2 linked regions of the Xenopus tropicalis genome follow. The protein of the gene in region 2 purifies or fractionates together with the protein of the main gene of each other region. This does not show direct contact. Links are inferred from orthologs where the notes say so. Each region holds a gene or a part of one and is shown on either strand. Other genes may lie near its edges.

Region 1 (4,272 bases), on a different chromosome or scaffold from region 2:
AAAGCCAAAACCCAAGTGTTTAGAAGATCAGGAGACCTTGAACACAGCAAGTCCTTAGAATGACAAATTAAGGGGCTAATTTCCCTTTCTGCAATGCCAAAGTAAAGGAGCAAGCAGTTTAACCTATTCTCTGCTAAACAAATGCGCAATGCGTTGCAGTATGTTAAAATGATTTAACCCTCTATTATCCAATACAAGTAAAGGCTCCATACCTGAATGTTCTCCAGGAGAGTGGACTTCGCTCATGCTGGAGGCAGAATGTGGGGAATCAGCCTGCAGGGCCTTAAAAATGGCATTAGGGGAGATGTGGGTTTGCTCAGCGCCGTCCTCTTGTTCTGACTGCCCATTCTTTACGGACTTTCTGCGCCGTGGCTGGTACTTGTAGTCTGGATGATCCTTCTTATGTTGGATTCGCAGCCTCTCTGCTTCCTCCACGAAAGGGCGTTTCTCGCCCTCATTCAGAAGTCTGAAAAAGCAATGGGGTTGGTGGTCATTATACATATAATCTCAAAGTACAGAGAATGACTTTTCTAATTACTGCATATTAATTACACTCCTATCCAGGGTTTTAGAGACGATTTTCTCAGGGCCCCAGCATCAGAAAAGGACCCCTTGGATCCCTCTGGGCATATTATTGTGACCTACACATTTAAGGATTATTCTATAGTTAGAGAGACAGTAAAAGGCTAGTTATATAACTTTTTACTACTTCTAAAGTAAGGGGGTCCCAGGTTTCCAGTGTTGCCTGGGCCCCCTATTCTTAATCACAAACCCTTCTCCTCTCAAAGTCCAGTATTTCCATAAATTCATTTAAAGGACATATTCTGCCCTGAACAGTAATCTAAAGTGGGGTGCTGCAAGAGGCATCGCTTTGGTAAAATGAAAACTAACAGTATCTGAGCTGGAAAAATCCAGTTTTATAGTGCAGGAAGCATTTAAGTCATCTGATAAGAGCGCAAAGGCTTATTTAAAGTGGTCTGAGTCATTTTCTAATTGCCCGCAATTATAATTATATTGCCCTATTCACCTGATCCTTGCAACAGCAACAAGGGGTTAACCTTAATGGTCCTGACACCCATAAAAATGGTATGGTTTACAGCATACAATCAAAAGGAAAAACCCTATAACAAGCGACAAATTTATGAGTTAGAGGTACAGGGCCCACCTGAGCACATACCCCTTTATAGGAGTCCACCAAACCCTAATTGTACCACTATTGCATAAACCGCATGTATAAATGTAGCTAACATGCATCTATGTGAGAAAGAACAAGGAAGCCGTAGTTTATAAAGTGCAAATACTTGCTGTTTGTTTTACACATAATCGTGCAGGAGCAATGATAAAACCTTCACTTTAATGTTGTGCATTCTGGTCTGCAGAGCCCTCTGCCAGTTGCACATTTCTATTGCATTCTGCATAACCACTGACAGTTTTACACATTAGTTATTAGCCTCTGCATTCTGCATAACACCCTCTGCATTAATCACATCACTCACACTCTGGTCTACACTACCCGCTGCATTCTGCAATGTCCACATAGCAAGGCATCATTAATATTTTAATATATTATAGGGATCCTAGCACCAGCTAAGTCTCCTGCATGACCCACTGCCCAACCACAACTAACTGCATTATTGGTTATCCCCTGCCTTGTGCTTTGAGCAATATCCAACAACCACCACCACCTTGCCCCATACATAAGTTCACATTCTACATTATGTACTGGGAACACAACCCACAGAACCCACACCGCCCACTGCATTTCGCTCTGCCCCAACCCAGCAGCACAACAAGCTGGGAAACAGATTCGCTATTACAATCCTTATTCTTTTATTCCAAAACCATAATTACAAAAGAGGGCCTCAGCTGGTAAGGAGATCCTGTCACAGTCAGACTGAGAGCTGGCAGACTGGCACCATCTATGATTCATCTAACCAGAGCTAATTAGCAGATCTTGGCTGTACCGATACAGACCTACAGCACATCCCTGGCAAGCCTGGAATACAGTGCCAAGGGAGCCGCCAGCAGACAGGCAAGAGAGTTACAGACGCGCACAAAGCGCAAAGTGCCAATACAGCTGCGCAATACAGAGGCGCACAGCAATAACCACATTTTGCATCAAAACCAACTCCTCCCCAATTTCCCACCATATGAAAAGAGGTTACATGCATGTTAACACCTTCAACCCCAAGCTCACAGAGGTGGCCACTTACCTCCATAACTTGCCCAGAGTCTTGCTGAGTTCTGCATTGTGCAGATGGGGGTATTGGTCGGCCAGCTTCCTCCTTGCAGCCTGTGCCCACACCATGAAGGCGTTCATGGGTCTCTTGACATGAGGCTTGCTCTTGCTGGATCCATTAACTCTGACTGGCATCGGTACCAGGGTCCAGTCATATCCCTTCAGCACCTGGCTGACCGCCTCTCTGATGCACACAGGAAACTTTTCGTCCTCTGTCTCCTTCTTCAGCTCCGGGTCCCCTTTGGGGAAAGTGTTCTCTTGGGGTCTGGTGTTCTCCGTGTCGGAGCCAGAGCCGGAGGGGCATGGGGAGCCAGCCGAGTCCTCGGACATTGTTGGGCTGGGGGCCCCGGACATGCACTTATCTTGCTCTTCTGTCATCTTCATGAAGGGATCCAAGAGATTCATGCGCAAAACGGTGCGAAGAGAATGGAGAGAAAGTTGGCGAAGAGAGTTGAGCGGCTGGCACTGTCTGGGCAGAGCCGCGTCTTCCCGCACCCCAGTCTCTCACAGGAACAATGGAAGTGGCTCTTCAGCAAAGGCACCCAAAGCAATGGGGAGAGTGGCCCTCCAAGGCCTTTCAAACATGCACGGGGCTCAGCCTCTGCTCACTTGTCAGCACCCCCAATGCAGAATTGCTATGGCTTTTGGCAATATTGGCTGTAGCTAAAGCCCCTCTCCTGCCTCTGCCCGCACACAGCTCCACTTTCAGATCTGTTCCACAAGCGGAGAGCGCTGCCATAAATACCCTCCTCTACTGGGAGCCACGCCCCCCCCAGCGGAGAGCACGGATTGGCTGTAGGGATTTGGAGAGGGGAGAGGGTGGGGGTAGTAGAAAGCTCTGCTGAAAAAAAAAAAAAATCAGGGAAGAGAGTGAATTTGTGCAGTTGAACTTTTTCAGATATCTACTAGCAAATTCTGCTTTTGTCTCGCTGCAGATGTAGTTGTTTTGTGGGGAACAAGCAAATAACAAATAATAGATACAGGATATAAACGCTGTTATGTAATGTGTCTTGTTCTACTCCAATACACCTAACAGCTCATTGGCTGGCACCTATACCCAGCAGGCATAGCATGGAGCACTGTATGCAGGAATTCAGCTATTCAACAACATGCAAGTCCTGGAGCAGCACTTCTCAAACCAATGGCATTTTATTAGAAATAGCTACTGTTAGACTGTAAGCTCTTGGGAAGAGTGATGCCATTCCAGCTATATGTGTAATCTCCTTATGTAATAGTTTGTACCAAACACTGATTCATGTTTTATTCCTTTCCAAAACATCTGCCTTTATAGAGAGCTATACAATCGTTTTGGTCTTATAAACCTATAGGGACGTGTATACAGAGAGCTCATATCTCCTATAAACTTATAGCTCCACCACTTCTACAGCCCGACTCCTTTACTTTACTTTTTGCACCACAACGCCCAGTATTCCAGGGCTACCTGATTTTGTGGGCTGCTGGGAATTTTAGCTGGGCACATATAAACTGCAGATATGTATATATGTATATATATTTATATATGATTGTATGGGGTTGTGCATAATACCGTTGAAAATGCGAGTGAGGGCATCATACAGTAAGCTCGTCCGATCATTTCGCACAATCCATCTGACTTGGCTGCCAAGCAGAGAGTCCAGTGTTACACAGGGGCTGTAGAGCAGGACTGAGGTATAAGACTATCATCTATCTATCTATCTATCTATCTATCTATCATCTATCTATCTATCTATCTATCTATCTATCTATCTATCATCTATCTATCTATCTATCATTTATCTATCTATCTATCTATCATCTATCTATCTATCTATCATCTATCTCTATCTATCTATCTATCTATCATCTATCTCTATCTATCTATCTATCTATCTATCTATCTATCTATCTATCATCTATCTATCTCTCTCTCTCATCTATCTATCTATCTATCTATCTATCATCTATCTATCTATCTATCATCATCATCTATCTATCATCTATCGTCTTTTCTCATTTCTTCCAGGAAATTAATGTCTTCATAATGACATAAAGTT
Region 2 (4,205 bases):
AGAGCTGGGCTGTGTATTTTTAAAGCTACAGTGGCCTAGAGCTCACTGAATTTGTGACAGCTACCAACCCAGCAGAGAAGATAAGCTGTGCTCATGGTTACGTATTGAGTTAACTTGCAGTTTCTACTCACTTCTATTGATAATCATTTGCTACTATACAGATGCATACTATTGAAACAGCACTTTGTGGTAAACCATAGTAGCAGCGCCGGCAGCATGCAGCCTGTTGTACTGGTGAGGAAGGTTAATGCTGTAGCCCTCCTACTGTTTGTGTTGAACTAAAAACCTAAAAATGCCACACAGAGCATTCTCATTCTGGGAGCAGTACTGCAGCTATAGCTGTGCTGGACAACTTTTTTTCTTTTTTGAAGGCTTGGCCTCTTTGCATTAATAACACAGAAGGCAGTTTATATACTTTATACAAACCTGGAGCAACTGCTTAGAATGAAAAAGACACCCCTATACATGTCATGAATGTAAATTACATTGCTAAATATAATACAGGCATTTTCCACCTACTGTAATATAAATTAGTAAAGAGTTATCTAATAATAGGGAGTACTGAACATGTGGCCCGGTCCAGAAGACAATTTTTTGCTACATGTGCTCTATATTACCTAAAGCCATCTTAATGCTCTACATTTATTTAATGCCAATAATTTGTGGGGTTTTTTCTCATATTTGGTTCAACAAGGCTGTGTTTAACTGCACTGCCACTAAATGTGTAGAGGGAAACTTATTACACGGCATATAAATGAAAATAATTACCCTACAATACATACCCCTGTGATGGGCATGCCTACACAAATATAATTGTGTGTAGTGCATGTTGCTTCTGCCTCAGTTCCAAATTTCAAGAGTCAGAAAGCAGCAGCTCCATTAAAAGCTCTCAGAAAAGAGAAAGTCTCTCAGTTTCCATTACATGTGCCATAAATGATAGCACTGACAATCTTTGTGTTTTGTCTCAGTGACTTCTAACAGAGAAATGAAAAAAGCAGGTCCCTTCACCATGTGCCATAACCCCAACAGGTGTAACTTTATTTCACTCTAGTAACAGAGCAGAGAACCACTACACCTTTGATTATCATCATCAAAACTAGGGGTGACAAGCAGATTTCAGCAATCTACTGTCAATCACAAGTGACCACCAGGAGCTTAATTTATGCTATTAGTAGGTACATTCATGCCCTAAAAACAGTATATACATCTTTAGTAAGAGCTTTTTTTAATATACACATAATCCAGGAATAAAAGTGCTTTATAAAGGGTCCAGGTTGTATTTAATCTTTGGTATTTCACTTAAATAAACCTTAAACTAGGGTTCAATTAACCTTTCAACCAGGTAGACATTTGGAATTCAGAATGTTTTAGGAACAGAAGAGGCTCTGAAAACATAGACCAATAATTCAAAAAACAGGAACATTCAAATTAAAGTCTAATAGTCCATGTTTCTATTGCGGGTCAGTGACCCTGTAACTAGGTAGCTTTTCCAGCTGCAATTTGGAAGAATGTGGTAAATAATTCAGAAAGAATACAACACGAAAAGTTTATTTTAGGACGGGCAAAATTTTGTCCACACTAAAGACTGGAGTTAATTATATATATAACAAATTCTTTTATACAAAATTCAAGTTTTATTGCATCCCATACTTTATGTTACTGCAATTTGGCATCCTCTGCCTTTCAATCCTATTACAGTAAATGCTTACACTAGGGATGCACCAAATCCACTATTTTATAATCTGCCTGAACCCCTGAATTGTTTGCGAAAGATTTGTCCAAATACTGAACCAAATCCTAATTTGTATATGCATATTAGAATAAGGAAGGGTTGAAGAGAACCGTGCATGAAAATTTTTCAACTTCCGTGTGATGGATTCTAATTCGTTTTGGCCAGAGGCATGGATTTGGCCAAATATGGATATAAAAGGTCAGATCTTGGCAGAATCCTGCACCAAATCCTGGATTCAGTGCATCACTAGCTTATACACATAAGTAACCTTATCTTTAAATAAAGTTTCACTCTAATCCCCCATATGAAAACAGCTAAATGGAGCAGCACAGACTAAAGACAACACAAAGCTGGGTTCTAGTGTGACAAGTCCCTTACATGAGTCTGAGCACTAAGTGGGAATGTTCTCACCATCAGACTTCTCTTACAATGGTTTGCATAGGGTGTTGCCCCAAGATTAGTACTGTGAGCACAGCATGCCTAAGCATTAGTACTACCCACTTACTTTGGGCAAGAAAAGGATGAATTAGGCAACTTGCAGTTCAGTAATGTGTGTCACAGGCAGAAGCCCAAGTACCCCTACAGGCTGGTTTGGTGTAAATAAATTCCACTTCCAAAAAGTCCACTTCTGTAGTTCTAGAGTCTTGAGGCAATGTTTTGGATTTCATAGTATGCACAGATATACAGGATACAGAGGTATAATTGTGTGTGTGTATAAATACACAATATACACAGAGCTATACTGTGCATATGGGAGTTAATACTTACAACACTTGCACACTACACAATCTCCCAATAAAGAGTTGCCTACAAGTCTATACTGAGTACAGCAGTGGTCTTCAAAGTGCGGCTCGTCAACTGTAAAACTACAACTCCCAGAATTCCTGGACGGATTCTGGGAGTTGTAGTTAAACACAGCTAGAGAGAAGGTAGTTTTGTGTCCCTGTAGCAGGGCAAGTAAATACAAATCTACATCCACTAATGTACTACTTTAAATTATTCCCCCACACACTACACTATTTCTTTAAAGCGATCAAGTCCCGGCGGTGGCCAGCGGCCAGTTACCTGGGTGGAATGACTAGTCGGGGGCATTCGCTGCCTTTCCTGGAGCCCACACGGGCAGGCACGCAGCTCACGGAAGGAAGGCTTCTCGCCGAGAGACAGGCACGGGAGGAGAGGGAGAGAGAGGGCGCGCCGGGATGACGTCAGTCGCTCAGCAACAACCAGGGCAGCAGTCGTCGCAGCGGCTTGATGTCATACGTGGGAGACGGAAGTAGGAGGCTACTGTTACTAGCCGCTACAGTTATGTTATGGTGGGGAAAGCAGCGGCGGAGTGTATTCAGCCTGGTGCTCGCAGGTGCATGTACCGCCTACGTTAGTAAGGTCAGTGAGACTCCGTACGATTAGCTCCAGCGGTTTCTCTGATTTTCAGTCTATTGCCGAATTATAGTTTCTTGTGTCATACACTGAGTGGTTGCAGTGTTCAGCAACAGTGATCTAAATGAGCCGGGGTGCCTTATACATATCGCTTCCGATGAGGATCGAGCTGCAGAATGGGGGGGGGGGGGAGACAGGAATTTAATTAGAACGGACAGCACACGAACGTGGACAGGCAGGTGTGGGGCACAATCACCCAGGGATAGGTGCCTACTGGGGGAACAATGCCTTGAGGCGAGAGATTCCAAAATGAGCCCTCTCCCCATGATGTAGGGATGGATGGTATCTTCAGGTTATAGTCATAGTTACCAGTATATATTACTGTCTGTCTGAGAAGGGTCTCATTCATTCAGTTCTCTAAAAAAAAAAAAGTCTAGTTGATTTGACTTATTGCTATAGTTATATATTACTGTCCATAGCCATAGAAATCATAGTCCCCAGTACATTCTAGTGCTATACTCCAGCAATAACTTTAATGATATTAATTTCATCAGAAGAGTTGAAAATTGCCTTTATTCCCACGGACCAAGACTAATGCATGGATAAAAAAAATGTTTGGAGCAACTGAATGCTAATATAAATAGTACAAAGTTTGCATAGTCTGTTTGGCACATGGGCTTTAATGAGCACTGGGTAGCACATACTTTCTACATTCAGAAAGGAGTCAGGACAGAGTCTGTAGGATAGAATTAAGGATTCATTATACTTTTGGGACTTTATTTCAAGATTTGTTTTTAAACAAAATTGTTAAATTGTTACATTTAAGCCTGTGCTATGGAGAATGGTGATGCTTTATAAATAAATGCCCTTAATTGTTTAGGTGTTGGAGATTGCATTGGCACATGCAGGTCTATAGAATGTTAGCAGTTTGTGCTTACCTGCTGTGTCCTTAGCACTCTAATGGTGAATACCGAGTTGAAGATAAAACCTGAGCTAATGCTAAAAAGCCTTTTTTTTTTTTTTTTTTTAAAAAGGAAATGATACCGCCTATTTGACATGAGTTCATTCATTTGTATTAATAATTTAATTTTTTACA

What was found.
Region 1: the proteins of fbxw7 (region 2) and sox9 purify together in Homo sapiens (affinity purification with western blotting; 4 studies listed by BioGRID and IntAct, with this or other methods). This does not show direct contact. The link is inferred for Xenopus tropicalis from reciprocal best matches to the Homo sapiens genes FBXW7 and SOX9.

Annotation. Positions count from the first base shown.
Region 1 is NC_030686.2:30,590,552-30,594,823, reverse strand, and holds the start of sox9 (transcription factor Sox-9), read right to left. Parts: upstream 2,937-4,272; 5' UTR 2,645-2,936; coding exon 2,214-2,644; intron 467-2,213; coding exon 213-466; intron 1-212. UniProt on the Homo sapiens protein: Transcription factor that plays a key role in chondrocytes differentiation and skeletal development.
Region 2 is NC_030677.2:55,439,070-55,443,274, reverse strand, and holds the start of fbxw7 (F-box/WD repeat-containing protein 7), read right to left. Parts: upstream 2,927-4,205; 5' UTR 2,798-2,926; intron 1-2,797. UniProt on the Homo sapiens protein: Substrate recognition component of a SCF (SKP1-CUL1-F-box protein) E3 ubiquitin-protein ligase complex which mediates the ubiquitination and subsequent proteasomal degradation of target proteins.